Linked DNA regions of Callithrix jacchus. The protein of the gene in region 2 interacts with the protein of the main gene of each other region in a biochemical or structural test. Links are inferred from orthologs where the notes say so. Each region holds a gene or a part of one and is shown on either strand. Other genes may lie near its edges. The genes, in order: FOXO3, CREBBP, UBE2I, KHDRBS1, AIRE, HOXB6 and HOXB7.

Region 1 (3,939 bases), on a different chromosome or scaffold from region 2:
GTGACGGGTGCTGCGCAAAGCCCGGAGCCCGGAGGTAGCGGGGCGGGCTGGCTCCTGCGTACGCTGGGCTGGACCTTTGTGTATGGGGGTCATTACAGAGCCCGCTTCTACACTCTGAGCTATCTCCGGTGACTTAGAACTATTTTTTTAAAAAAGATATTTATAAACTACGGTGTCTATACTTTGGGTGTGCATGTCGCGTGTACTGCATTCGTAGAGTACAAATAAACGATTTGGGGCACGGATCGTAGAATAAGGACTTGTGCAGATGTTCTGAGCCTAAAGGAATCCGTCTTTTCTGAAAAGTCAAAAATGCACACTTAGCAGTTTTGTCGTCCTTTACAAATTAGACTAAAATTATTTTTCCCTTCTCCAATCTGCTCATGAATGTAGGACGGGGGTGGGGTTTGCATTTCTTCCGGAGTTAGTTACACCTGTCCCCCGTTTGCTATGAAACCCATGAAAAGTAAAACACAACTGTGGTAGGTGAGAGACTCAGTGTAAACCTTTTGGTGCCCGATCGCATCTGTGAGCATTGGCTTATCAAAGTTGTGCAGGCACCAACATCTTCGCCGTTCAGTATTTCCACGCCGCTGTAACCCTGGTCATCTGCGGTCAGCATCTTATCTCGGGTGTTACCTGGTGTCGAGTTCTAACCGGGAACCGGACACCGTGGTGAGACCAGAGCCGGGCGAGCGGATGCGCAGGCCCGGGACCCGTGGTGCCAGGAGCCCTGCCTGGTTTCGGGGAGGCCAAGCCGCTGCGCTCCTTGGAGCGTCGGGGGCTTCGCGCTCCTGGCGTTCCCTCTTCTCCCTCCTCTCCCCTGTCTTCTTCTCTCGGGCCAGCGCCGCGCTTTGTTGTCGTTGAGGCTCTGGGGAGGGAGGAGCAGCCCAGCGGGAACGACAGCGAGAGCCCGCCGAGTCCCGGCCCTCGGCGCGCGCCCGGACACCCACGCCCGCAGCCCCGTGGACCCGGGTCGCGCAAGCGCGCGCGAGCTCACACTCGCGCACTCACGCACGCCCGCCGCGCGCCCAGCCCGTCGCCCAACCCTCCCCCTGGGCGGGGACCCGCCCGCCGTCAGCTTAGGTTGAGGCGCCCTGCGTGTGTCTATAACTTTGTGCTGCTGCCGCGGCCGCCCTGCTCTTGAAAGGGAGGAGGAGGAATGTGGAAGGCGGCGGCGCGCGAGCTGACAGGCGGTTCTTCGGGCGGGCTGCGGCGACGGCCCGAGCGCTTCTCCTTCGCCGAGGTTGCGCGCCCCCTCCTCGCCGTGCCCCGGGCCCGCGCGGGATCGTGCATCGTCCCGCCGCGTCCCTGAAGGGAAGGAAGCGAGGTAGGCGCCGGAGCCGTGCAGCGGGCGGCCGCCTTCCCGGTGACTCCGGATCTGCTTGCGAGCTGGGCCGGGCTCTTCCCTTTCCCCTCCCCGAGCCGCGGTTTGCGCGCCCCCCGTCTCGCCCGCTAGTGATTTTAAAGGACTCGAGGGAAGGGGGAAACTGTCAAGATGGCAGCAGCGGGAGCAAGGAGGTGATGAACGTGCTGGTCCGGGTTTTCTGGCAGCCCGGGAGACTTGGCGCTTCCCGACCTGTTGGAAGATTTATGTCCCGACTCGCTCCCTCCCCCGGATCCTGACTGGGAAGGGGGCGGAGGGGACGACGTCCGCGAGAATACCAACCACTCAAAACCCCCAAGTGGCCGTCCCCGCCGGGTTCGACCCTCTGCGAACACCCGCCGGGGTGCTGCTCCCCTTCTTTCCGTCTTTCCTTTATTTTTTGGAAGTGACAAGGGTCCATTTGCGCCCAGACCCGCGTTCGTCCTCCGGCCCGCGGGCGAAGAGGGGAGAGGGAGCTGCCCGCGCAGTCCCCGGGCTCGGGCCAGTCGGCTGATTGCGGGGTGACAGGGGGGTCGCGGAGGCGGCAGGGCGGGGAAAGGGGAAAAGAGCCGAAGATCACACAGACTTGAGCGGCAGCGCCGCGGGAGGCACTAGAGCGAGCTGGAGCGAAATATAAACAAACGCACGCACGTCCGAGCTTGGGCTCCGACCGCGGCTCGGCTGCGCCTGCACGGGCCGCTGCCCGCTTTAAAGGCGCGGCCGCCCCTCCCCCGGGTGCCCCTCCCCCTCCTCTCCGCCCCACCGCCTAGTCCGGGAGGGACCTGAGGCTGGGCGGCGGGGGGAGGGGGCTGCCCCGCGCGAGGCCGTCGATTCGCTCGCAGCTCCCCCGCGGCCTGGCCGGGGGGCGGTGTCTGCTGCGCCAGGTTCGCTGGCCGCACGTCTCCAGGTCCGCCTGTTCCTGGTAGGCGGGCGCGGCGCGGCTGGGAGGCGGCAGCTGCGGGCTAGGACTCGCCGAGGACAGGGCTCCGGCCCGGGATAACCAACTCTCCTTCTCTCTCCTCTCGTGCTTCCCCAGGAGGCGGCGGCGGCGCCCGGGAGCCGGAGCCTTCGCGGCGCCCACGTTCCTCCCCCGCCGCACCCCGCCCCGGCGCGAGAGCCCCAGCCGCGGGCTGGCGGGCGAGCGGTGAAGATGGCAGAGGCACCGGCCTCCCCGGCCCCGCTCTCTCCGCTTGAAGTGGAGCTGGACCCGGAGTTCGAGCCCCAGAGCCGGCCGCGTTCCTGTACGTGGCCCCTGCAAAGGCCGGAGCTCCAGGCGAGCCCTGCTAAGCCCTCGGGGGAGACAGCCGCCGACTCCATGATCCCCGAAGAGGAGGACGATGAAGACGACGAGGATGGCGGGGGCCGGGCCAGCTCGGCCATGGCGATCGGCGGTGGCGGGAGCGGCACCCTGGCCTCTGGGCTGCTCCTTGAGGACTCGGCCCGGCTGCTGGCACCGGGAGGGCAAGACCCCGGGTCTGGGCCAGCCCCTGTGGCGGGCGCGCTAAGCGGGGGGATGCAGGCGCCGCTGCAGCCTCAGCAGCCGCTGCCACCGCCGCAGCCGGGGGCGGCTGGGGGCTCCGGGCAGCCGAGGAAATGCTCGTCGCGGCGGAACGCCTGGGGAAACCTGTCCTACGCGGACCTGATCACCCGCGCCATCGAGAGCTCGCCGGACAAACGGCTCACTCTGTCCCAGATCTACGAGTGGATGGTGCGCTGCGTGCCCTACTTCAAGGATAAGGGCGACAGCAACAGCTCGGCCGGCTGGAAGGTGCGTACCCACCCCTGGCTGGCGGCTGGACCCGCCGGGCCTTTTGCGCAGCGCGAGACGCTTCTTGGATTTGTCGGAGCGTGCCTGCGGGCTCCAGGGCAAGCGGGGTTGGCAGGGGGAGCCTCAGCTGTGAGGTTTTGCGGGTTCTCTTTGACCCCCGGAGTAAGGGCACCTGGGGACGGCCTCGGATGGGGGAAAAGAGGCTCCCCACAAGCCTAGGGCATGGCCAGGTGAGGAGAAGGGGGCAGGGGACGCCGGCGAGGGAAGGGCGAACGGACAGGAGTGCTTTTGCTGGATTCTCAGGACAGCGTCGAGGAGGTAGGTCCGCAGCGACTTTGGAGTAGAGTTTACCTTGATGGGGGTCTGTTTCGGGCACTGTGGGTGGAGTGAAGGATGTGGGGGAGTGTTTTGTATGCAATGTCCGGAGGAGGGGTTGGATGTGTGGTTTTTAGTCTGTCACAGGAATATATTGTGTCGTCACTAGCTGAATGAGAACCCTCGGGGTCCAAGTTTCAGCTTGCGGATGTTAACTCCCACAGGCTCATCGATCCCATTAGAAAAAGCAGTGGTTGCAAACCTCTTCCTGGACGGCTTCCTTTCATTGCCTGCAATTGACACCTTTTCTTCTCAGAGATACCACTCCAGTAAACCTGCCCCTGACTAGCTTCTGAAATGTTCTGGGGCCTCGAACCGACTGGCCTGGCCACCTCAATCCAGAGTGGCCGCACCCACTGCTCCTGGAGAGGCCTGGACTCTGGCACTGTTGGAGGGAAGGGCTTGGGTATAGGGGACTAGGGGCCTGTGC
Region 2 (3,227 bases):
ACCTGCAACGAGTGCAAGCACCACGTGGAGACGCGCTGGCACTGCACTGTGTGCGAGGTAGGCCCGCAGCCAGCCTGGGAGCTGACGAAGCATCCCGTCCCTTTGCGTGGGTGCTGGGGTCAGTGTCTCTACCTGATGGCGGCTGCGCTGAGTCCTCTGGAACTAGGACAGTATCACAAGGCAGAAGGCATCGCCATGTTTGTGTTTCCTAAACCTGCTCTGTGTAGCCATGTCCACAGGCCTGGCAGTGGGGACAGCCAGAGAAAGGCTTTGCAGGGAAGTCTGTCCTATCTGTGCCCAGTTCTGGTCTTGCTAAATGGCTGGGAACACCCGCTGTCCTCTTGGTAGCTTGGGACCCTCTGGTCCCTTGCATGGGTGTTCCTTGCATGGGCTCAGGCAGGTGACAGACCCCACCATTCCCCTCCCAGGACAGTCACCATCACCTGCCACCCCAGAGCCCACTCGCTTGCTGTGGTGTCTGTAGGCAGGCAGAGCGGTCCTCAGCCGAGCGAGGGCTTCTTCTCTCTCCACCTTCACACGCCTCTCTTCCACACTCCAGCTTTCTCCAGTGTCCTTTGTCCTCTTTCTAGTTTTTGCATGTGGCAGTTTTTACCTCTTTCTGTGAAGGCAGACTTCGTACCTGATTCTAGGGCTCCGTCAGGTTGCCAGGTGCAAGCAGTTTTTAGTAACCGGCTTCTGCATTAGGGAAAGTCCACTGGCACGCCATGGGTAGGGTAGCCCAGGCCTTTCCAGAGGCGCTTCATGGCAACTGTCGGTGCTCTGGGAGGGACCAGCCTCCCTCGGCCTTTCACTGTCAGGTTTCACAGTCCAGGTACAGGAGCAGGACAGGCCATGACGGGGCCAGTGTGACTCCCTGGGCAGAGGAAGCCAAAAGGAAGGGGGCTGGTGTCTACTGTCCATAAACTCACAGGCTGGGAGGTCTCAGGGCATAAGTCTGGTTATCTTTGAGCCTTCAGGGCTATTCCCAGGAGTCAAGGTCTTTGGGAGGAGCATGTACACGGCCCGTGCTCCTGTCCTGTCCATGCTTCCATCCTGTCTGGGTCTCCTGTCTGGTTCTCTTGGCACGGACCCAGACGTAGTGATGGAGGGAAACGGCCAGGGTTCCTGGTGTTGGGCCCCGTGCTGACACCAGCCTGTCCCCTTTTCTCGCTTCCAGGACTACGACCTCTGCATCAACTGCTATAACACGAAGAGCCATGCCCATAAGATGGTGAAGTGGGGGCTGGGTCTGGACGACGAGGGCAGCAGCCAGGGCGAGCCACAGTCAAAGAGCCCCCAGGAGTCCCGCCGGCTGAGCATCCAGCGCTGCATCCAGTCTCTGGTGCACGCATGCCAGTGCCGCAACGCCAACTGCTCGCTGCCATCCTGCCAGAAGATGAAGCGGGTGGTGCAGCACACCAAGGGCTGTAAGCGCAAGACCAATGGGGGCTGCCCGGTGTGTAAGCAGCTCATCGCCCTCTGCTGCTACCACGCCAAGCACTGCCAAGAAAACAAATGCCCCGTGCCCTTCTGCCTCAACATCAAACACAAGCTCCGCCAGCAGCAGATCCAGCACCGCCTGCAGCAGGCCCAGCTCATGCGCCGGCGGATGGCCACCATGAACACCCGCAACGTGCCTCAGCAGAGTCTGCCTTCTCCTACCTCAGCACCACCTGGGACCCCCACGCAGCAGCCCAGCACACCCCAGACGCCGCAGCCCCCTGCCCAGCCCCAGCCCTCACCCGTGAGCATGTCACCAGCTGGCTTCCCCAGCGTGGCCCGGACTCAGCCCCCCACCACGGTGTCTGCAGGGAAGCCCACCAGCCAGGTGCCAGCACCCCCGCCCCCGGCCCAGCCCCCACCTGCAGCGGTGGAAGCGGCTCGGCAGATCGAGCGTGAGGCCCAGCAGCAGCAGCACCTGTACCGGGTGAACATCAACAATGGCATGCCCCCAGGACGCACGGGCATGGGGACCCCAGGAAGCCAGATGGCCCCTGTGAGCCTGAACGTGCCCCGACCCAACCAGGTGAGCGGGCCTGTCATGCCCAGCATGCCTCCCGGCCAGTGGCAACAGGCACCCCTTCCCCAGCAGCAGCCGATGCCAGGCATGCCCAGGCCTGTGATGTCCATGCAGGCCCAGGCAGCTGTAGCCGGGCCCCGGATGCCCAGCGTGCAGCCACCCAGAAGCATCTCCCCCAGCGCCCTGCAAGACCTGCTGCGGACCCTGAAGTCACCCAGCTCCCCTCAGCAGCAGCAGCAGGTGCTGAACATTCTCAAGTCAAACCCGCAGCTAATGGCAGCTTTCATCAAACAGCGCACAGCCAAGTATGTGGCCAATCAGCCCGGCCTCCAGCCCCAGCCCGGCCTCCAGCCCCAGCCCGGCATGCAGCCCCAGCCCGGCATGCAGCCCCAGCCTGGCATACACCAGCAGCCCAGCCTACAGAACCTGAACGCCATGCAGGCTGGCGTGCCACGGCCCGGTGTGCCTCCACAGCAGCAGGCAATGGGAGGCCTGAACCCCCAGGGCCAGGCCCTGAACATCATGAACCCAGGACACAACCCCAACATGGCGAGTATGAATCCACAGTACCGAGAAATGTTACGGAGGCAGCTGCTGCAGCAGCAGCAACAGCAGCAACAGCAGCAGCAGCAACAGCAGCAGCAGCAGCAGCAAGGGAATGCTGGCATGGCTGGGGGCATGGCAGGGCACGGCCAGTTCCAGCAGCCTCAAGGACCTGGAGGCTACCCGCCAGCCATGCAGCAGCAGCAGCGCATGCCACAGCATCTCCCCCTCCAGGGCAGCTCCATAGGCCAGATGGCGGCCCAGATGGGACAGCTCAGCCAGATGGGGCAGCCAGGGATGGGGGCAGACAGCACCCCCAACATCCAGCAAGCCCTGCAGCAGCGGATTCTGCAGCAACAGCAGATGAAGCAGCAGATTGGGTCCCCAGGCCAGCCGAATCCCATGAGCCCCCAGCAACACATGCTCTCAGGACAGCCACAGGCCTCGCATCTTCCTGGCCAGCAGATCGCCACATCCCTTAGTAACCAGGTGCGGTCTCCAGCCCCTGTCCAGTCTCCTCGGCCCCAGTCCCAGCCTCCACATTCCAGCCCGTCACCACGGATACAGCCCCAGCCTTCGCCACACCACGTCTCACCCCAGACTGGTTCCCCCCACCCCGGACTCGCAGTTACTATGGCCAGCTCCATAGATCAGGGACACCTGG
Region 3 (3,983 bases), about 2.3 Mb from region 2:
TGAGGGAGAGAGGAAATGAGTGAGGGAGGAAATGAGTGAGGGAGGGAATGAGTGAGGGAGGGAATGAGTGAGGGAGGGAATGAGTGAGGGAGGGAATGGGTGAGGCAGGGAATGAGTGAGGGAGGGAATGAGTGAGGGTGGGAATGAGTGAATGAGGGAGAGAATGAATGAGGGAGGAAATGATTGAGGAAGTGAAGGAATGAGTGAGCGAGTAAAGGAATGAATGAATGAATGAATGAGTCAGTGAGGGAGGGAATGAAAGAATGCGGTCATTCCCCGTGGTCCCCAAGCGCCCGGACACAGTGACCTTGGCAGCGACCCCGCCGTCGGCGAAATGGGGGTGGGCGGGCCAGGAGAGCCCGGGGCCAGCACAGCCGCGCGTTGGCGGAGCGTCCAGCGCGCTCGCGGGGCTGGGGGCCTCCCGACCCGGTCCCCGCGGTTGGCGCGGGGATGGGAGTGGGGGTGGGGCCGGGAAGCGCCCCTCCCCCACGGGCCCGCCCCGCCCCCGCCGCTCGCAGGCCCCGCGCCCCGCCCCCGCCCAGGGTCCGCCCCCAGGTTAGGGAACATCCTCACTTCTCCTCCCGTCGGTCATGCGCGCATTCGGCCTTTTGTACCGGGTCAGCTCATTGGGCGGATGAGAAGATTTCCCCGCCCGCCGCCCCGAACTGGCCAATTGCAAGAGGTTTCACAGGGCGCTAAACTAGCGGGAGCGTCACCGTCCTGCGACGCTTCAGGGTATCCTTAGGCCTCAGTGGTCTTTGCCCCCAGACCCCAGGCCCTGACCCCAAGGAAACCTCCGGGACGTGTGCCTGGAGAGGTGACTTCCGGGTATCCAGGGAGCTTTTGGAGTTCTCGGCCTCCTTTTGCCCCCGCTGCTCGCCGGCGCGTCCTCGGATGGACGCGGGCGCCCCGAAGGGGAGTTTGCAGACGCTCCCTCACATCGGGGACGCGGCTCCTTTAAGGGTGTAGGTGTCCAGGGCGCCGCCTGACTGGAAAGTCGCCCCCCGACCGGGCTCCTGGGGCGGACCCGGGTCGCGGGCGCGCGGTGGCGGGGCCCGGGCGGCGGGGGGCGGGTGGTGGCGCGGGCAGCACTCGGGGCGGGACGGCGGCGGCGGCGCGCGAGGCAGGCTTGCGGAGGGCAGCCCCGCGCCAGGCCCCGCCTCGCGCGCCCCGCCCGCCCCAGGGTCCTCGGAGCTGCTCGGGCTGCGCGCGGAGCGGGCTCCGGAGGGAAGTCCCGAGACAAAGGGAAGCGCCGCCGCCGCCGCCCCGCTCGGTCCTCCGCCTGTCCGCGACGCTCGCCGGGGCCGCGGCCGCCCGAGGTGAGCGCGGGCGGGGGCCGGGCCGGGGCCGCGGGGCGGGGGCGGGCTAAGGCCTCCAGCGCTGTCGGGCCCGGGCCCCCGGCTGCCCCGCGCCCCGCCCCGCCGAGCCCGGGCCCCGCGTCGCGGCCGAGCTTCCCAGAGAGGCCCCGCGCTCGACGCCGGCCCGGCCCGCGGTGCTGGCGTCGCGGGGCTGTAGCCCGAGCGCCCGGTTCGCCGTAGGCCCTCGGGGCCGGGGCTCCCCCACTTCGCCCTCGAGGTGCGCCTGGCGCGGGGCCGGGGCAGCCACCTGCAGCCGGGGCCCCGCGAGGCCGCGCCTTCCTCCTCCGCGGCGAGCGGCTTCCGGGGTCACGGTCGCCCGCGGACGACGAGGATGGGCCTCCGGGGGGAGAGCCGCGGATTGCAACAGCGCTGACTCGCGCGGGTGGGGGCCGGCGGGCGGGCGGGCGGCTCTTCGGGGCCTTCAAACCGAAACGCGTCCAAGTTCTCTCGCGCCGCTGAAGACGCCCCGCCGGCGCCGCTGGTGGGAGTTTGGTCCGGTCTCGGGCCGCTTTGTACCGGTTGAATCGTGGTTGGCTCTGGAAGTTGGGGCCGTAGGAGGCAGGTGCGGGGTGACGCGCTGGGCTTGTGGTCGTGGCCTGCGGTCAGGCGCGAAGCGCAGGACGAAGTGGTTCGGGGTGTGGAGTCGGGAGTCACGTTTAGTTCCTCTGTCCGCGGAGTCTTGGGGGATTTCGTCGGTTTTCTCCCTAGGACTCACCCCACCCGTTTCTTGCTCTTTAAAGAAACGTTGCCTTTGGGTAGAGAACCTAGCGGAGAGAACACAGGAAGGACCCTCAGTTTGCCCTGGGGGCTCACAAAGAGGTCCCTTCCCTAGGCTGTTGGGTGGCTGCAGGTGTCCCGGGGTTTGGGATCTCGCTGCGGAAACAGCCCGGGGGCCTGGGACAGACAGGTCAGGTGCGGCCAGGTGAGCGTGTCCCGACTGCAGGTGCCCGGGTCGTGCAGAAGGGAACATCCTCCCGGGCCTGGGAGAGTGTGCATTTGGGTGCAGGAGGACCTTTGAGGGCTTCAGGTGCGAGCCTGTCGGGGCGCCCACCTGTTCTGGTGATGAGGGCTGCGGAGCTGTGGGCGGCACTGTGGGAGATGGGCGCTTTGCTCACCCTCAGCCAGGAAGTTGCTCTGAAGTGGGTGCAGTCGGCCAGCAGAGCCAGGTGGTGATCGGACATGCTCAAGCTCAGCCCTCTGCGTGTGCCCTGTGGGAGGGCAGGCGGCAGACTTTCGGGCAGCTCCTGGAGTGCCCGGCCCAGAGGTCCCGTTGCTGCCGGTGTCTGGGCCTTGCCTGGCGCTGACAGAAGAGTTGTTTTTGTGTTTGTAGCGTAAAAGTTTCCTGTTTTGAAGCCCTTAGTGACTCCTAGCTGTTCACTAAGTGCCTATCTGTTAGTTGGGGAGGATGGATTCAGTTTTCAGTGGGATTTTTGAATGCTGGGTCTGTGTTGTGATTACATTGTAACAGATGGGCCACTTTCTCCAGTGGGCAGGCCAGCAGGAGGGGGAGCAGGGATCTTGGAGGCCAGGCCTGGCTTCTGCCTAGGATGGGTGGGTGTGCACCTGTGGCTCCCTGCCCTGATGGTAGAGTGTCCTGTACGACCCCCGCCTGGTGCTGAGTGCTTTGGGGCTGGCGGCACAGCGGCAGCAGCCCGGTCTTGGCAGGAGGTTTGGCAGGACCACCCTCATGACTTCTCACACCTGAGGCAACAATAGCTGGGGGCTGAGCACGGCCTCTGGGCGGCCCTGTCCAGTCCTCAGCAGGAAGGCCACCTGTGGCAGAGTCCCAGGCCTGCTGGCCTCTCCATGGCCTGGTCTTGCCTGGCTGTGAGCATCGGTGCCCATGGTCCTTCAGTGACTGGAGCGCTGGTCTGGGGCTTCAGAGGCCCGTCTGATGCCTGGCCCCGCTCAGACCATGGGCACCTGGGAGCTGGCGCCTTCGTGAAACAGCCACTCGCCAGGCTGCTATGCACTGCACAGGGCACAGGTTGCAGCCACTCAGAGACTCCTCCCTGGGGCTGGGGAAGCAAGAGCCCCTGAGTTCTCAGGCCGCCGGTACCAAGGTGGTGCTGGGCTACTCCATGTGGAAGAGCCAATGGAAGGGGAAGGTGGAGAAAACTCCACACCGGCTGGGGTGTGGAGTTTCAGACCCCAGCCAGTGCAGAGAGAACCTTGAAACCGTGGTTGGCGAGCACTCCAGCCTGCTTGGGACCCATACCCTGCCTGCCCCCAGCTCGGCCCAGCTGTGTCCTCCCCCACTTTCTCCCGACTTAGAGGAGGGTGTGGGGAAGGGCAAGCGGTCAGGAGGGCAGGTGGCCTGTGGACCCTCTGCGTCTCAGTGAGGAAGATGTGGGGAAGGACATCCCAGTGGGGCCCAGTCCGTGGCTGCCTCCAGCCCCGGCTGCCTGTCTTGGACTTAGTCGTGGAGCTGGAGGCCAGGGCCCAGTGGCCCCTGTCACTCTCTCCCAGTGCCACCAGCGCCTGCTGACTGGAGGACCCAGGTTCCTCTGCCTGCTTTTTCTCGGACTACCATGAGAACCCGTGTTTGGTGAAAATGAACCAAATCCCCCTGCAGGGCACGCGGCTCTAGCAACCCTGCCCGGCTTCCGGAACCCTGGTGCCCTG
Region 4 (3,946 bases), on a different chromosome or scaffold from region 2:
TTTATGGGACAAGTAGGAACCTAAGGCTCCACTTGCATATAGCACTCTAGGATGTGGAGAACGCCGTTGAAGATTGTCCACTATGTATGTACCTTGGCCTTGAGAGTAGTGGCAAGGGTCTCTCTAAGCCAGTCTGGAATGGTAGAAGGAGCCATCCTAATGATGCAACCAACGTCGATTAAGGATCTGGTCTCTATCCCACTTTTTGACGGAAAAAACACTTAACTGGCAAGAATGACGGCTAAACAAAACGTTAAGTCACAGAAAGCAGTAAAATATGTAAAAAGAGCTAAAATGCTGCTTCTTTTAAGATTTCCCTGACCAGCAATGGCAACCGTTTTAGAACCGACTGCAATATATGTAATACTGGAAATATATATAACACTAGCAATGACTTCTCGTGTTCCCTGCTGTCTGGGGCCCTTTTCTTTGCTAGACTTCAGGTCTCTGATCCGAACCCTCCCTCTTAGGTCAAGTCCTCCAATTGCTTTTAGTGTTTCCACCAAGCCGTCCTTCTTCAATTTCTCCCTCCAGGTTTCCCTTCCCCATCTCCCCTGCTATTGCTGCGTCAGACTCTCCCTTAGTCTTTCTTTCTCCTTGTGCAGTCTCTGTCTCTCCCCCACCTCTCTTCCTCCCTAGGCAGCCTCAGTTCTCTCTCCCTTCCCTTTCTGGGTCTCCCACCGCAGTCTCCTTTTAGTTTCTCACTTCAGTGACCGCCCCCAAGCTACTCGCCTTACCACCCCACCCCATTGCGCACTAAAATGTCCGTGCCTTTCGGCCGTTGGAGGGCGTGGCCCGGCGAGTAACAGGTCTCCCGCCCCACACTCGGCGGGCCCGCGCGTAGACAAAGACATTCCACAGCCCCCGCCCCCTCCGCCCACTGAACCAGAAGGGGAAGGACCCACGTGTCCCGCTAGCGCCGAGTCACGTGGAAAAGGAAACGAACTGAGCCGGCAGCCTCCCGCGCATGCGCGCCAAATTCTGGCCTGGCGGGCGCGGAGGGAAAGCAGGAGTCGGGAGGCCACTTCTTCGTACGCCGCGGTGGTGCGCAGGCGCCGTGGCTGGACTGGGGACTTTGTTCTCCGCGGAGAAACCCAAGGGCGGTGCCGGTGACTGGCTGCGCACGCGCGCCGCCTCATTTCCGGTGCTCTCTCTCGCTGGGTCGCTAGGGTCGGCTTCGGTCGCTACCGCTCCCGCTCTCCCACCCCCGCCAACCGCCGCCCGGGCCTCCGCCGCTACCGCGTCGCTTTCTCACTCCTTCGATCGCACATCCTCCCCGATGCAGCGCCGGGACGACCCCGCCGCACGCATGAGCCGGTCCTCGGGCCGCAGCGGCTCCATGGACCCTTCAGGTGCCCACCCCTCGGTGCGTCAGACGCCGTCTCGGCAGCCGCCGCTGCCTCACCGGTCCCGGGGAGGCGGAGGGGGATCCCGCGGAGGTGCCCGCGCCTCGCCCGCCACGCAGCCGCCACCGCTGCTGCCGCCTTCGGCCACGGGTCCCGACGCGACAGTGGGCGGGCCAGCTCCGACCCCGCTGCTGCCCCCCTCAGCCACAGCCTCGGTCAAGATGGAGCCGGAGAACAAGTACCTGCCCGAACTCATGGCGGAGAAGGACTCACTCGACCCGTCCTTCACTCACGCCATGCAGCTGCTGACGGCAGGTAAGGGGGCCTCCCGGGTCCCTCTGGGTCGCCCGGCCATCCCAAGGCATGAGTGGCCCTGGCTTTGTTCCTCTCGCCTTCCGCCCCCTCGGGACCGAGGAAGTCGGGAGCTCCGGTCTCATCTTCGTTTTTGGGACCCTGGAGTCCACATTCCCACCTCAGTCTGGAGTGCGAGGGAGAATTTCTAGGCTGCAGTGCAGGCCCGAAGGCGACTTTGCGATCTCCTAGCGCTAACATCTTGATGGATAGTGCTGAGCTCCCCGCCCCTTTCCCGACTCTTCACTCCTCCCTCCTCCTGCGGCTGCCCCGCGCTCCGAGCGCGCAGATTCTTCCAGAAATGAACCTGTATTTCCCCCTTTCCCCGAGGGGGAAGCCTTTTTGATCGCGAGTGGCAATGAGCCCCTCGACCGAGGTGTGGGAGGTGAAGACAGCCAGAACGGGGGAGGGGCCGTGGGAGGAAAGGCCGAGGTGAGGTGGGGTGAGGCTGGAATGCCCTGTCCAGCGCGTCGCTGTCTCTGGGGCCGAGCCGGACTTAGCGGTAACCGCAGCTTAAGTTGCTGGGAGGAAGGAGCGATTTATGGGGATCGGAGCTTGAGGTTTTCGAATCAGATTTCCTACTAAGGCTGATAAAATAAGAATTGCTATACTGAGCTTGAAGGTTGTCTTTAATTTTACACCGTGGGTTCACCATTGAAGAAGGAGTGAAATAACCCTAGAGACGTTGAAATGGGACGATAGGGACTGCCGCGTAGTTCTCATGACGTTTCCCAACGAGATGGACAGAAATTGAGAGAAGTTGCATGATGCTTGTACTGAAAGTCTTGGTCTTTTTGTTGCTTTGTTTTACATATTTTATTCAGTAGTGAAAAAGAAATGAGTCTTTGTTCTGTAGATTAGCGCTCTTTTTCTGATCAGCATTGGCCAATCACCTAGTCGCCCTGATTTTTCCCTAAAGCTGTCTGACCTCCACTTCTAGTTAAAACATTATTTTAATAAATATTTCTTATGATACTTAAATTTTAGTATGCAAGTAAAAATTCCCATCATTCAACACTGAATGAGTGGTTGGACTCTATGGCAAGGTTAATATAATGAACAGTTCGTTATGAAAATATTACCTCCCTCCCTTTGTTCTGTCTCCCAACACTGTAAGTTAAGGGCTCTTTACCAATGTGGTGTTCATCTTTTATGCTTTTTTAAGATAACTGTCAAAAACTATTGACCCTTAAAAGTTCCCTGTAATTTTCAGTCTCCCCTCACTGCTTAACTAAGAGAGCGCTCTTTATTTTTAACTTCTGTTTTCTGGATGAATTTTTTTTTTTTTTCTTTAAACCAAACTGAAATTGGTAAGTGTGTTTGAGGTAATGTTGGTTCACTGAAAGAATGAAATCGGGATGTATGGATTCTTTGTGGCATTGATAAGTGTTAATGTATATTGAGCCTGGCTTTTTATTTTTTCTGAGACAGAGTCTCACTGTCACCCAGGCTGGAATGTAGTGGCGCTATCTTACCTCACTGCAGCCTCCACCTTTCGGGTTCAAGCGATTCTTCTGCCTCAGCCTCCTGAGTAGCTGGGATTACAGGCGAGTGCCACCATGCCTGACTGATTTTTGTATTTTTAGTAGAGATGGGGTTTCACCTCTTGCTCACTCTGGTTTCGAACTCCTGACCTCAGATGATCCGCCCACTTTGGCCTCCCAAAGTTCTGGGATTACAGGCGTAAGACACCACGCCCTGCCAGAGCCTGGCTTTTAAGGTACTTCTGAATTATCTTGCAAAGGAATTGCAGCGAAGTCACAACCCACTGTGAAGAAGTGAGACTTTGAGAAGATAGAATAGTAATATTTAAGTTCTAGTAAGAACAAATGGAAGGGCCAGGCGCCGGTAGCTCACTTGGGGAGGCTGAGGAGGGTGGATCACTTGAGGTCAGAAGTTTGAGACCAACCTGACCACCATGGTGAAACCCCATCTCTATTAAAAATTAAAAATACAAAATGAGCCGGGCATGGTGACACACACCTGTAATCCCAGCTACTTGGGAGGCTGAGGCAAGAGAATCACTTGAACCCGGGAAATGGAGGTTGCAGTGAGCCCACGTCTGACCATTGCACACCACCTGGGCAACAAAAGTGAAACCCTATCTCAAAAAAATAAAATAAAATAAAATAAAAACATGGAAGAAAAATATAGCTATATTTAATGTTTGGTGTCTGAGCACTTTACATTAAATTTTTTTTTTGAGACAGAGTTTTGCTCTTGTTACCCAGGCTGGAGTGCAATGGCAC
Region 5 (4,184 bases), on a different chromosome or scaffold from region 2:
CCCACCTTCCTCCCCAGATTTGTTATCAGGCACCCCTGGAGTCTTTTCTGGAGGAATCTCAGCACGTGCAGAACATTCAGGGGGACACTGGGGCTGGAGGCAGAAGCAGAAATCGAGACCGAGCCCTGGTCCTGAGGAGAGGTGCCTGCTGCTCCCCATCCCGGACTCTGGCTGCCCAACGACCTATGGCACATCTGCCCACGCGGGAATCATCTCTTACTGCGTCAGTCACCTCAGCCCAGTGCTGCCCAGATTCAGGCTTCCTGGTACCTTTGTCACTCTTCAACCCTGACCCATGCTGGGCAGGTCGCTTCCTTCTCAGGCTCGGGGGGAGCAATGTGCCCAGAGTCCTTCGTGGGTCTCTGCAGCCTGCACACAGGGCCTGCCTCGCCGGCTTGACCGGACAGACAAGGGGTCTGTGTCACCAAGGCCTCCCGCTGAGGCCAGCCCCTTCGAGGCCATGCCCGCATCCTTGCAGGCCCCAGACCTCTGCACCTGCTCCTGCTTTACTGGGGGCACTGTCCCCACCCACGTCCACCTGGGACCCTCGACTCCTGTCCATGGCAGCTCCTCTCTGGGATGTCTTCCCAGATGCCCCCGAAGCTCCTGTCCAAGCTGCAGTGTCCCTCAGCCTGTGTCACTGGTCCTAGGAAGACCCCTCGGGAGCTCACACTCAGGGCCACCCTCAGAGCCTCCACCATGGGGCCAGTTGCTTTCCTTCTAAAGCACCTGGGGGAAGGAAGTAGGGGGTCAGTGGGAACCTCCATCCCCAGGCAAATACACCCCTTTTGAAGACGAGGGAACTGAAGCTCAGAGAAGGAAAGGACTTGGCTGGCGTCACACAGCCAGCCTAGGGTGGCGAAGTCAGGAGCCTCTTCGGCATCGCCCAGGGCTGCCTAGGGCGGGACACCAACCCTACAGTCTCCTCCATCAGACTGGGACCCTGCATCAGGCTCCTCCCACAGCCCCAGGTGGGCCTCCAAGTGGGGCTCTCAGCTTGTGTGGAGGTACCCCAGGGAGCCACCCCAATCCAGCCTCCATGGAGGCTCTTGCAGGCCACTTGGAGGGGCCAGTGCACCCTGACAGCCCGTCAGGCCCCTGAGCACCGAGCCTCCCCAGTGCACCTGTCCCGCTTTTGCCCCATTCCAGCAGGAACCTTGGGGAGGCAGGACCAGGACACATTCGGAAGCCAGAGGCCTCTGAGCCCCGCCCAGAGCAAGTCTCAGTCCCCAGCCCCCAAGGCAGCTGCCCCTGTGGGTGAGTCAGGCTGGGCGAGACTTCCCAGGAGCGGGCGGGCGAGCAGCGCCTCCATCACACGGAAGCGTCCCCGCCGCAGGGAGGCCGAGGCTCTGGCCCTGATTGGGCACCGGGCGGAGCTGCCTTTGCGCTTTGCGTGGTCGCCGCGGTATAACAGGGGTGCGCGGGGCTGCAGGCGGGGGACACGGGTGCACAGCGGGCGCGGACGCCCCACAGGCCCGCCGGGACCCGAGGCGAGGAGAGGGGCTGCCAGCATCCCGGGACCCCCGCCCAGCCCCAAGCAGACCCCATGGCGGACGCGGTGCTGCGCCGGCTCCTGAGGCTGCACCGCACGGAGATCGCGGTGGCGGTGGACAGCGCCTTCCCCCTGCTGCACGCGCTGGCCGACCACGACGTGGTCCCCGAGGACAAGTTCCAGGTGGGCCCCCGCCCTCCCCTGCCCCAGGCCCTGCGAGTCAGGGGCAGTCCCTGGGGAAGTTCCAGGAGGACCCCGCCTGGAGCCTCCCAGTCCCTCCAGTCCCCCCAGGCCCGTCAGGGTGGCTCAGGCCTGTAATCCCAGCACTTTGGGAGGCCGAAGCGGGTGAATCACCTGAGGTTTGGAGTTCGAGACCAGCCTGACCAACATGTAGAAATCTCATCTCTACTAAAAATATAAAATTAGCTGGGCGTGGTCGCAGGAGCCTGTAATCCCAGCTACTTGGAAAGCTGAGGAAGGAGAATCACTTAAACCCGGGAGGCGGAGGTTGTATGAGCAGAGATCACACCATTGCACTCCAGCCTGGGCAACAAGAGTGAAACTCCATCTCAAAAAAAAAGGCCAAGTGCAGTGATTCACACCTGTAATCCCAGCACTCTGAGAGGCCGAGGCGGGCGGATCACCTGAAGTCAGGAGTTTGAGACCAGGCTGACCAACATGGAGAAACCCCATCTCTATCGAAAATACAAAAAAAACTTAGCTGGGCATGGTGGCACATGCCTATAATCTTAGTTACTCAGGAGGCTGAGGCGGGAGAATTGCTTACCCAGGAGGCGGAGGTTGCAGTGAGCGGAGATCGCGCCATTGCACTCCAGCCTGGGCAACAAGAGCAAAACTCTGTCTCAAAAAAAAAAAAGTTGGCTCTCTTCCCCCAGATATCCCCACACTTCACCCCCAAGCCAAAGGAATGGCCTCCAGGACGCTTCCTTACCCCCACCCTCAACACCCTGAGCTACCACCTGACCCCACCACAAGCTGAGGAGATGGACGTGGAGGTGCCCTGGTCTCCAGTGCCTCTGCTGGGAGCGCCCCCCTCTAGTCACAGTGGTGACAGGCAGGCCGCGGGGTGTGGGTGAGCATGGCAGGGACCCTCATGCCACCCACTGCAGGAGACGCTTCGTCTGAAGGAGAAGGAGGGCTGCCCTCAGGCCTTCCACGCCCTCCTGTCCTGGCTGCTGACCCAGGACTCCGCAGCCATCCTGGACTTCTGGAAGGTTCTGTTCAAGGACTACAACCTGCAGCGCTACGGCCGGCTGCAGCCCATCCTCGACAGCTTCCCCAGAGGTGGGTGCCGGGGGGCCTGGATGCCGGGGGGCCTGGGGCAGCTGCTGCCACCAGCTCAGCCCAGCTAGACTGGAGCTGGAGTGGTGTTTGGGGAGCCTGTGGGTGATGCCCCAGGATGGGCTTGGATCCCAAGAGGCAAAGGGCCCAGGCCTCGCCCACGTGACCACGGTGTCCAGTTCTGGGGCCCAGCCTCCCCTGCAGAAAACTCTTCTCCTGCTTCTGCCCCTGAGCTGCAGATGTGGACCTCAGCCAGCCCCGGAAGGGGAGGAAGCCCCCGGCCATCCCCAAGGCTTTGGTGCCACCACCCAGGCTCCCCACCAAGAGGAAGGCCTCAGAAGAGGCTCGAGCTGCCACGCCAGCAGCCCTGACTCCAAGGGCCACCTCCAGCCCAGGTACCCAGCAGGGGAAGCCAGCTGAGGGCTCCAGTCTTCCCCGGGAGCCTGCGCCCCCTCCCCACCCGGGCTCCCACTCACTGGGATGGAGCCAGCCTGCCTGGGGCTGTGGAGGTCCCCTCTGGGTACTAGACCCACACACTGGACCAGCCTCTCAGCTCCTTCCTGCCCAAAGACTGAGCTCCCCAGGGCTGGCGAAGTAGGCACATGGGTTTTATTTGCTTTCTACTGAGGGGAAACCAGAGCCCCGCAAAGGGAAGGACCCACGGGAGGCTGGGATACCCAGGACTGGACCCCACTCCACACCCTCCCACCTCGGGGCCCCACCCACCAGCACTTACCCCCACCGAGAGGGAGGCCAGGCTGCCCCAGCTCCCCTATTCAGGATCTCAACTGAAGGCCAAGCCCCCCAGGAAGCCGGAGAGCAGCGCAGAGCAGCAGCGCCTTCCGCTTGGGAATGGTGAGCAGGGCCCAGCGGGAGTGCCTCCCTTCTCCCTGGCCAGGGGCAAGGGGTCAGGGGTCAGAGCAGGGCCTGCCCTCTGAGGGCCTGTCCTGGGGACTGGGCACGTGCTGGCCTGGCGTGCAAGGGCCATCCCAAGGGCCAGACCCAGGAAGGGGACACCCTGGCTCCAAGCATGACCTTGCCAGTCCCCTCCGCCCCCACTGCACCCGGTTCTGGGACCCCCTTCTCAGGAACCTCTGCCCGTCCATTCCCTATTCTTCAGGACAAGTCCAGACACTGCTTCCTCCAGAAAATCATCCCTGGCCCCCAGCTGCATGCAGACGGGACCCCTCCCATTTCCCTCTCATTACTTCCAGAGACACCCTGTGCCCACTGCTGTCCTCCCTGAGGGCAGAGACTAGGAACTCTGTGTCCCTCCCAGCACAACACAGGGCCCATGTCATGGGGGGCCTGGTCATTCGTCATTCCTTCCTATCCATGTGCCAGCTGTGCTGACAGTGCCCCCCCAGCACACACACACGAGCACACATGA
Region 6 (4,075 bases), on a different chromosome or scaffold from region 2:
GCCTCTCCGCCCGCTCTCCGCGCCGCCGACAGCAGCCTGGAACCTTCTCCGCAGCACACACACAGAGAGAGAGAAAGAGAGAGAGAGAGAGAGAGAGAGAGAGAGAGAGAGAGAGAGAGAGAGAGAGAGAGAGAGAGAGAGAGAGGGAGAGGGAGAGAAAGAAAGAGAAAATTGGGGCAGGGGAGGTTATTTCGTTTCCTGAATTTGGTCATTGGTAGCTCAAGTTGAAATACGGGGATATTTCAGGGGACCTGGGAAACCTGGGCTGAATTTTTGTTTCATTTTTTGCTTTCAAATACCCGCTGATTGCAGGATCAAGACCTGGAGGGTGGTGTCTATGCAGCTAGAATCGCCGAACTGATTTTTATTCGATTATAAACCCTGAATTATTTAAATTATAAAACAGACTTTGGAAAGAAAGAGGAAAGAGGGTTGGTTTTAGGATGATCTGTTGAATTTGAATTTGTCTGTGAAAGGCTTCTAAACCTGCAATTTCCCCCATTATTGACCACGTAGCCCCCTGGAGAGCGCGGGGAGCTGTCAATAGGGAACCTGGACTTGCCTGCATTTGGGCGGGAGAGGCCAGGATCCGGCTTGACCCTCCCCCAGTTTCTGGGTTTGCGGAGGCGAGAATCTGGTTGTCTGACTGTCAGCCTTTCCTCTTGGGACAAAAACAAAGCCCTAGGGGATCCAAGGCCCCCACGCCCGCAATGCTGCAAGCCTCACAGGTAGGGGTTCTGCCCTCTACAGGGCTAGGAATGAGGGTGCCAGTTCAGCTGGGGAGAGGGAACACCGAAGCTTTCATTTTGCCCACGTGCGGACGGCAATTCTAGACACTAGACACCGGCCTCTGCTCCCGTCTCACCCCAAAATTGCCTCAGAACTGTCCCTCTGCAGAGAATTTGGGGTAGACTTTTATTAGAAGAGGGAGCAGACCTCCTGTGGAAAATAGGGAGGTTCGGAAAAGAACCCTTCCTAGCTGCACCTTTATAGCTTCTCCACTCTGATTCTCTGCCCCCCCAAATCTCACCCCTTCTCAGATTGGGGTTTCCCCAAAAGGAGAGCAGGAGAAGAAAAGAAGATGGCGACTGAGAAAAGGGTTGCTGGTGGAGCAGCCATGAAGAAATGCAATAAATTCCTTGTTGTTTTATGAAAATTTACAACTTTGTGATAGAAGTTTATGAGTGGTTGAATCCAGCGATTGGCCGGCGCCGGTCATGTGGCCAGGCGATCGTGAACATGAACTTTTTATCATTTCCCTGGTGGTTATAATGCAGCATTCTTTTGGACACCACACCTAGGTCGGAGCACTGTCGTCCTTCAGGGCTCCAGCCTCTTGATATTTTTATACTTCAGTATCAGCTCGATAGAGCAAAAGAGAGAGAGGAGAGAGGGGGGTGAGGAGAAAAGAGAGAGAGAGCGAGAGAGGGAGAGGGAGAGCAGGAGGGGTGGGAATTGCACAAAGAGAGAACCAAAAATAATTTTGATTCCTAAGTTAATTTGCTCACTGATCTGGGATTTTAGTCATCATGGAGGGTAAATGGACACTCTGCCTAGGACTGCAGCCTGATACTATTTTTCAAAGACAGAACTTACTCAATTTTCTATGCAAATGTCAGAAAAATGAAACACCCTCTCTCCCAAGTCAGAGAAGGGGAAGCGACGGCTCTCACGTTGGGACAATATTATCTGGAAGCTGAAGAAGAAACTGAATGCTCCTTCTTTCCTCCCTCCCCATTCCTTTCAATCCGGAGGGAAAAAAATCCCAAGGTCTGCAAAGGTAAGGGAGATTCTACAATTTTCTTCGGGTTCTTTTGCATCGCTTTTGTAGGGGGGTGGGGCTTGGGTTTTTCTCCCTCCTCCCCTACTCCAAGACGGGGCTGAACCCCACCTCTGGGCGCTGCAGGGAGAAGCTTCCCAGGAAATTCGGTGGTGGAGAGAGGGGTGGCTGCTTCCTGGAGGGGGAGCCAAGGCAGGGGAATCGGGAAGACGAATCTAAAGAGGGCCAGGAGACAAGCTCTAAGTTGCCCTTTTAAGCTTGGAGGAGAGACTCAAGGGGGCTACGAAAGAGAGGATAGGGGCATCTGGGCTTCAGTGGCACCCAAAGAAGCCAGTCGTTATGGCCTCCGTGGGTTTGCCCCCTCCCCCTCCTGCCATCCCTCCCTTGTCCCAGCCTCTGGCTATTGCCCCCGAGCAGTTCTCTTGCCTGGTGCGGATATCGCCGGGTTCCCGGCTGCATTGGCATGTGGGGTGGTGGCGCTAAGGGACGTCCTGGTCTCTGTAGGGCCTGGAATCTCCGCCAAGGCCGGCGAGGGAGAGGAGGCGGCTAGAGAAACACAGAAAAGACAATTTACATAGAAATGCTCGCTATCTCCCTTCGGAGACGTTTTTGAAATTAAAGGGCTGTGGGTGGAGACACCAAAAATGAGGGAGACCCTCCGCCCCCCCCCCCCAGGAAGCTTGCCCGAGAATGCCCAAATCTCTCGCCACTCACGCAGGAGGGAGCCTCGCTCTGCAGGGAGACAGTTTTGTGGTTTTAATGCGGTAGGTTACAGCTGTTGGTTTCTGCGCTTATCGATTCTATTATTTGCATTGTATTGGTATGGGATGTGTGGATTTCGGTGGAGGAAAAAATTGCCATGTGTGTGTCTGATATGGTAACATTTCAAACTTTCCTGGGTCCAAACATGGTGATTGTGAAAGAGCTGTTAAGTGCGTTTTTGTTTTAGGCTTTTAAATAAAAACAAAAAAGAAAGAAATGTAAGAAGAAAATAAGAAAATCCAGTTATGGAATGGTGTGTAAACTGGAAAGCTAACTGGCACTGAGCTCAGGCAGTCCCGTCCCTCGGGTGTCCAATTTATCTCTCAGTCAGGCCTTCTAGAGGTGTGGGGAGGGCGGAGAACCATTGGGCAAGAGACAGAGATTCCTCAAGTAGCTGGTGGGGAGGAAGTAGAAGCCAGCCTTGAGGCAAGGACTTAAAAATGGGGCAAGGGAGCTTCTGGGGGAAGTTTCCAGCTAAGAGATAAGTGACGTTGGCTGTGGAGGGCAGGAGAGATTGTGATTTAGTTTGGTTTGCACGAACATGTGATTGCTTTTCTCTTTCTTAAGACCAGATATAGGACGTTCAGCCTCGAGCCTCTGGTCGCTCCGGAGTTACAGGGCCTGGGGTGTGTTGGAAGTGGGGGTATATTTATTATTTCAGTCCTAAGCTGGGAGAGGGCCACTTGTGGCGCGGAAGGGGCTCTGGGGTCCAGGGTAGATGCCCTAGTCTCAGGCCCGGCCTGGGCGCCGGGAGGGACCGCTCGGTTTCGTAGCGAGAGTTCTCCGCCAGCACCCACGGCACTAAGGGCTTATTCTCAAGGGATACATTTCCCAAACCCACCCACACTAAAGGTCTTTTTCTCCTGTAGTCTTGGAGGGTTATAAATCCTCCCTTAGACAGTTCACTGGGACCCAAATTATGCGGTTTGCTGCCATCTACCGTCCGTTCGCAGACACGCGGCTTCTGCGCCGCAAACCCCGCGACACTGCCCCAGCAGTGCCCGATGCCTGGAGCCCTGGCCGCGCAGGGTCCAAGGGATTCAGGGGATTTCGGGTCCACACCGACGTTCTCAGCTGGATCTTGATTCCCCGGTGTGGGTTAGAGAACAGAACAAGTCTCTCCTCCACCCATCCTCAATTCCCGACTCTCCCCGCCCCCTCATCCGTACCTCCCACCCCAGCCTCAAACCTGGAGGCTGGGAGGGGAAGGGGAAGGGGCTTCCTCTAGGACATATTTAAAAAGGTCTAATTCTGCATCCAGTGGCCAGGGGCCCTGAACCAAAGGGTGGAGGGATCAGAACCGAGACCCCCACCGCCACCCCCACTCCCACCCCACCAAGGCGCGGGAGAGAATGGGGCCGCTTGAGAGATCCGAAGCCAAGGCTGTTCAAGGTTTATTTGGTTTTCTTCTCAGCCAAGGGAGGGGGCCGGTAGGGAAGGCGCCGGCCGGCAGTTCCACTCGGTTGTCAAAAGACAAACTGGGTCTGTGTTCTCCGGGTTGGCTGGTGGGTCTTGCCAGTTCCTTGGTTGGTG
Region 7 (4,257 bases), on a different chromosome or scaffold from region 2:
CAGAACCCTGAGGAGACTTGAAAGAGGTGCTCCTGGGAAGGAAACAGGGGAGGGGGGTTAGGGGCCCTAGTTTGGAGTCACATAAAAGTCAAGCTGAAATGCCTATAAGCAGAAAAATGGGGGCTTTGATAAATCATCTGGAAAGGCAGTTAAACTATGGAGCAGGTAATGGGGTCTATAACCACGAATACTGATGGTGTGAGAGCTGGGCTTCTTCTGGCCCCTGACCATCACTGAGCTGGGTGCCTCTGACAATGAGTCTTGGGTCTTCTGTACTTTGGGGCTAGCCCCCAAGTTCATCTGCTGTGGAACAGCACAGAAAAGAATGTCTGGGCCAGCATTGGCAGAGACCTTATGGAACCTCAGACCCTTGGGGTTCCTGCAGCAGCTCGCTGGGTGAACTACACTCTCTAAGTTTTGATTTGGCTCCAGAGAGTCCTAGCCCCTTCCCGAAGAGGTGAGTCTCTTATCTGGAGTGATATCTCCAAACCTGGCCAGTTTTTTAGGGGTGCCTAGGAACCCTAGGAAGAGCACCTGAGGAAGCTGCAGTCCCATGAGGCTTCTGCCCCTTTCTAGTTTTCCTGTTCCGCTCCCCTACCCAAGTTCATTGGGGTCAGGAGGCTCATCTCTCTTGGTCTCAACCCCCTCCCTCCACCTGCCTCTCTGGCTCTGTGTCCCTGGCTGGGTCCTTTTCTCCTCCCGTCAGGCCTCTAGAGCCCACCACTAATTGAGCTGATGAGAATAATGGGGGAGTGGGGTTCGCTGGAAAGGAAGGGGGAGGGGAGAATTGCTTAGCGCTATGGCCCCCTCCCCCATACCTTATTCGAGCTGGGGTAGGGGGATACACCCAGGGCTGAGATCCTTAGCTAAGAAGGGGGAGGGGGGGAGACCTTAATGGCTATTCTCTGTAAACCCCAGCCTTCCTCCGCAAGCAAACGGCCTCGTCTCCACCCCGTGCCGGCGCTGCTAATAAATATTTAAAGCTAAAAGGCCGAGAGGAAGGGTGGGGGCGGGCTGGGTGCTCGGAGCGCCGTGGCGTCGGCGAAGAGAGACCCGCCGGGAAGCAGAGGGAACCTGAGAGCACCGAGCAAATATGGGGGCGGGGGCGGGGCCGGCCTCCGGCCGGGAGCACTCTGGACGCGGAAAGGGGCGCCCGGCCGGGAAGGGGGCGCCTTCCGAGTAATGTGCTCGGGCCCCTGGGGCTCGGGACAGCTCGGTGCGCGGCGTTACCTGAGCTTCGCATCCAGGGGTAGATCCGGAAGTTACCCTCGGCCGCCAAGTCCGAGTCCCTCTGCTCCTTGGCGCCCGCCGCCTTGGCGGAGTCGCCGGGACACACCCCGGAGAGGTTCTGCTCAAAGGGCGCGCAGTGCATGTTGAAGGAACTCGGCTCAAGCCCGTAGCCGGCCGCGTAGACGCCGGCGGCACTCTGGCCCGCCATGCCCCCCCCGCCGGGGTACAAGCCCTGCATCGAGGCGGCGAAGGAAGCGCCCGAACCCGCTCCATAGCCCGGGCGCTGGGGATTGGAAGCAAATGCACAAGAAGTTTGTTCGGGGAAGGCTCCGGTAGCGAAAACCGAACTTGAGGCTGGATATTTAGAAAATAAAGCATTCGCATAATACAATGAACTCATAATTTGGCCGGATGATTTGTAGGCAGGGACGTTTTAGTGTCGGTTTTACGAGATTCCTTGATATATTACAGAATTAGAGTCCAGATTTACACCAAAAAGGACCCCCTTTTTCCTCTCCGGACCACGTGACCACGCCCACGTGACTTCCCCTCTGCCAATGGGTGGGCTGCCTCCCCACGGCTCCCGGTAATGTGGAAAAAATTGTGTGGCGTTGGATTTATAAAATATGATCAATAATGAATGGGAAAGCCGAGCCCTGTGGATTGGGGCTGGGGGCTCAAGGGCCGCTGCCGACTCCCGCGGGCTGGAGGCAGCTTGCAGGCGAGGTTTGGGAAGGAAGAGATTGAGAGGAAGAGAAAATAAATAACCTCAGGGCGATCCGTGTTGTCACCCCCCTACCCATCCTCTCCAGCCCGTTACCGAGCTAGAGACAAACGCAGGGATTGAATGCATGCAACTGGGAAGGTGGGTGCGTGGGGCAGGTCTGGTCTTTATTAATCCACGCCAATTCTGCATTGCAAGGCCTTTTGGGGAAGTTGTCCGGTTCTCCCAAGACGAGGAATAAGGTGAGCCTGGCTCACGGCTCTGTCTCTCTCTCGGTGCCCCAGATTTGCTGGCGGAGATGAAGCGAGGCTTCCTAGATACTCCTAGGGCACAGGATTCAGCCAATGGGCCTTGGACGCTGCAGTTTCTGGTGGCTAAAAGAAAAAAAAAAAGGTTTCAAAGTAAAAGAAAGAAGGGGGTTGGGTGGTTGGGGAGAGAAAGGAAGGGTGGAGGGTGGCCATGGCGCGCTGCTTTCCCGGTTCCGGAGGCGTATGCCTCAGTGGAGCGTGACTACCACAGAAGCAGAGGCAGCGAAAGAAGGAAGGTGGTGAGCCATGGCCTCAGAACAGAGCGAAGGTGGCCAAGTCCCAGAGAGGGAGAGGCAGGGAAGAGCGGTCTCCCTTCTCCTGCTCCCCCAACAAGAGTCCGAGGGAAAAAAAAAAAATTATGCTCAGCAGGCCTGCACTCCACCTTTATGCGCGCGCGCACACACACACACACACACACACACACACACTCTTCATAGGACTCACAGCAAAACAAAGAGGGAGGTGGCGGGGGACACAGCCACCAGCTCAGGCGCTTGTCTCCAGCGTGGCCTGGGCGCCCTGGTCTCCCAGGCTGGGCAGCCTCGGAACGCAAGAGGAGGGGGTTTCTCTTGGCTCCCCTCCCTCGTTTTTCTCTCCTCCAATCAGGCGCAGCCGCCTCCCTCACCCCCTGCGCCCCTGGGCCGAGGGACTCGCACCACCTGCCTCCAGCCCCCGCCCCCTCCTCTCCGCGGCCTAGCCTCAGCAGGCGCAGGAGCCTGGTGACAGGCTCCCCACCGGCTCTCCAAGGCACCCGGGAGCAAATGAGGAGCGCTGGCCAGGCCAGACTCGGGTTCTTGCTTGTAAACTTTATTGTAACTCTTCCGCCCTTTTGAGGCGCAGACAACAGAACAAAGTATAGAGGAACAACAAAATATATAATTAGCCCTCCCTCCCCCCCCATAAAGCAATTCACGGATACAGGATACATTCTCTTCACAGTAAACCTAAGAACACTTTTAACAATTGCCCACAGCGCGCATGCTAACTAAAGTAATCTCTTTTGAGAAACACTTAAGACAAAATTGTCAAACCAAAGGGGGTGGGTGGAGGAGGAAAAGAGAGAAGCCAGAGAGAAAGCCAGCGAGCTGGGGGGTGCAGAGGGGAGAGAGGAATGGGAGGAGGAATGAGAACGCAGCGAGAGAGAGAGAGAGAGAGAGAGAGAGAGAGAGAGAGAGGAGAGAGAGAGAGGAGAGGAGAGAGAGAGGGAGGAGAGGGAGACAGAATTACGGCGTGAATAGGCAGTTTCATGTTGTTGGGAGAACTTAGCAGAAATCGGTACCTCGGTCATTACAAAGAAGCACGTTCAAAGGAAAAAGACCATTGCACAAGAAGGCTTTTTACAAGGGGTGGGAAGGGGCGTGGGGGGCTCAGCCGGGCCTTGGCCGCTCATCCTCACAGGGCGAGGGAGTCCTTGCTTAAATCCTTTTCTTCCCCCCCCCCGCCCCCAAGAGAAGGGAAGGAGATCCACGGTAGCTCACACACAGAAGCTATTACGAGATACTACCACTAGCGGGGACTGGCGCGGCGGGGGACGCTGCGGTGGGAGGCCCGGCTCCTGGCCCGGCTAGCGGGGCCAGAGCTCTCTCGGGCAGGGGGCAGGCGGCGGCGGCGCGGCCGGGACCCGCGGACGTGCGGGCGGCCGCGGCCCTGGCAGTCCTAGCTGGAGCCTACTTCTTGTCGCCCTTCTGTGCGTCGCCCTCGTCCGCCGCCTCCGGGGCCCTCTCCAGCTTCTGTTTCTCCAGCTCCTCCTGCTCGCATTTGCTGCTGGGGAACTTGTCTTTGTTGTTCTCTTTTTTCCACTTCATCCTCCGGTTCTGGAACCAGATTTTGACCTGTCTCTCTGTCAGTCCCAGCGCGTGCGATACCTCGATTCGTCGCTTGCGAGTCAGATAGGGATTAAATAGGAACTCCTTCTCCAGCTCCAGGGTCTGGTAGCGGCTGTAGGTCTGTCGGCCTCGCCTGCGTCCGGCGGCTGCTGGGAATGGGGGAAAGGGC

What was found.
Region 1: the proteins of CREBBP (region 2) and FOXO3 are reported together in a solved structure, tested with the Homo sapiens proteins (2 studies listed by BioGRID, with this or other methods). The link is inferred for Callithrix jacchus from reciprocal best matches to the Homo sapiens genes CREBBP and FOXO3.
Region 3: the proteins of CREBBP (region 2) and UBE2I form a complex in vitro, tested with the Homo sapiens proteins (2 studies listed by BioGRID, with this or other methods). The link is inferred for Callithrix jacchus from reciprocal best matches to the Homo sapiens genes CREBBP and UBE2I.
Region 4: the proteins of CREBBP (region 2) and KHDRBS1 form a complex in vitro, tested with the Homo sapiens proteins (2 studies listed by BioGRID, with this or other methods). The link is inferred for Callithrix jacchus from reciprocal best matches to the Homo sapiens genes CREBBP and KHDRBS1.
Region 5: the proteins of CREBBP (region 2) and AIRE interact in far-western blotting, tested with the Homo sapiens proteins (2 studies listed by BioGRID). The link is inferred for Callithrix jacchus from reciprocal best matches to the Homo sapiens genes CREBBP and AIRE.
Region 6: the proteins of CREBBP (region 2) and HOXB6 form a complex in vitro, tested with the Homo sapiens proteins (2 studies listed by BioGRID). The link is inferred for Callithrix jacchus from reciprocal best matches to the Homo sapiens genes CREBBP and HOXB6.
Region 7: the proteins of CREBBP (region 2) and HOXB7 form a complex in vitro, tested with the Homo sapiens proteins (2 studies listed by BioGRID). The link is inferred for Callithrix jacchus from reciprocal best matches to the Homo sapiens genes CREBBP and HOXB7.

Annotation. Positions count from the first base shown.
Region 1 is NC_133505.1:114,678,106-114,682,044, forward strand, and holds the start of FOXO3 (forkhead box protein O3), read left to right. Parts: upstream 1-1,139; 5' UTR 1,140-1,521; intron 1,522-2,160; exon of another isoform or gene 2,161-2,288; intron 2,289-2,402; 5' UTR 2,403-2,516; coding exon 2,517-3,134; exon of another isoform or gene 3,135-3,452; intron 3,453-3,493; exon of another isoform or gene 3,494-3,939. UniProt on the Homo sapiens protein: Transcriptional activator that recognizes and binds to the DNA sequence 5'-[AG]TAAA[TC]A-3' and regulates different processes, such as apoptosis and autophagy.
Region 2 is NC_133513.1:5,839,910-5,843,136, reverse strand, and holds part of CREBBP (CREB-binding protein), read left to right. Parts: coding exon 1-57; intron 58-1,177; coding exon 1,178-3,227. UniProt on the Homo sapiens protein: Acetylates histones, giving a specific tag for transcriptional activation. Mediates acetylation of histone H3 at 'Lys-18' and 'Lys-27' (H3K18ac and H3K27ac, respectively).
Region 3 is NC_133513.1:3,564,923-3,568,905, forward strand, and holds the start of UBE2I (SUMO-conjugating enzyme UBC9), read left to right. Parts: upstream 1-1,183; 5' UTR 1,184-1,319; intron 1,320-1,649; exon of another isoform or gene 1,650-1,916; intron 1,917-3,983. UniProt on the Homo sapiens protein: Accepts the ubiquitin-like proteins SUMO1, SUMO2, SUMO3, SUMO4 and SUMO1P1/SUMO5 from the UBLE1A-UBLE1B E1 complex and catalyzes their covalent attachment to other proteins with the help of an E3 ligase such as RANBP2, CBX4 and ZNF451.
Region 4 is NC_133508.1:68,627,234-68,631,179, forward strand, and holds the start of KHDRBS1 (KH domain-containing, RNA-binding, signal transduction-associated protein 1), read left to right. Parts: upstream 1-1,146; 5' UTR 1,147-1,279; coding exon 1,280-1,661; intron 1,662-3,946. UniProt on the Homo sapiens protein: Recruited and tyrosine phosphorylated by several receptor systems, for example the T-cell, leptin and insulin receptors. Once phosphorylated, functions as an adapter protein in signal transduction cascades by binding to SH2 and SH3 domain-containing proteins.
Region 5 is NC_133522.1:49,948,119-49,952,302, forward strand, and holds the start of AIRE (autoimmune regulator), read left to right. Parts: upstream 1-1,384; 5' UTR 1,385-1,546; coding exon 1,547-1,675; intron 1,676-2,622; coding exon 2,623-2,797; intron 2,798-3,033; coding exon 3,034-3,189; intron 3,190-3,523; coding exon 3,524-3,649; intron 3,650-4,184. UniProt on the Homo sapiens protein: Transcription factor playing an essential role to promote self-tolerance in the thymus by regulating the expression of a wide array of self-antigens that have the commonality of being tissue-restricted in their expression pattern in the periphery, called tissue restricted antigens (TRA).
Region 6 is NC_133506.1:117,671,836-117,675,910, forward strand, and holds the start of HOXB6 (homeobox protein Hox-B6), read left to right. Parts: upstream 1-1,275; 5' UTR 1,276-1,780; intron 1,781-2,206; exon of another isoform or gene 2,207-2,326; intron 2,327-4,075. UniProt on the Homo sapiens protein: Sequence-specific transcription factor which is part of a developmental regulatory system that provides cells with specific positional identities on the anterior-posterior axis.
Region 7 is NC_133506.1:117,664,927-117,669,183, reverse strand, and holds the start of HOXB7 (homeobox protein Hox-B7), read right to left. Parts: upstream 2,801-4,257; 5' UTR 2,707-2,800; intron 2,329-2,706; 5' UTR 1,631-2,328; coding exon 1,231-1,630; intron 1-1,230. Other genes in the region: HOXB8 (homeobox protein Hox-B8), read right to left, coding at 3,930-4,237. UniProt on the Homo sapiens protein: Sequence-specific transcription factor which is part of a developmental regulatory system that provides cells with specific positional identities on the anterior-posterior axis.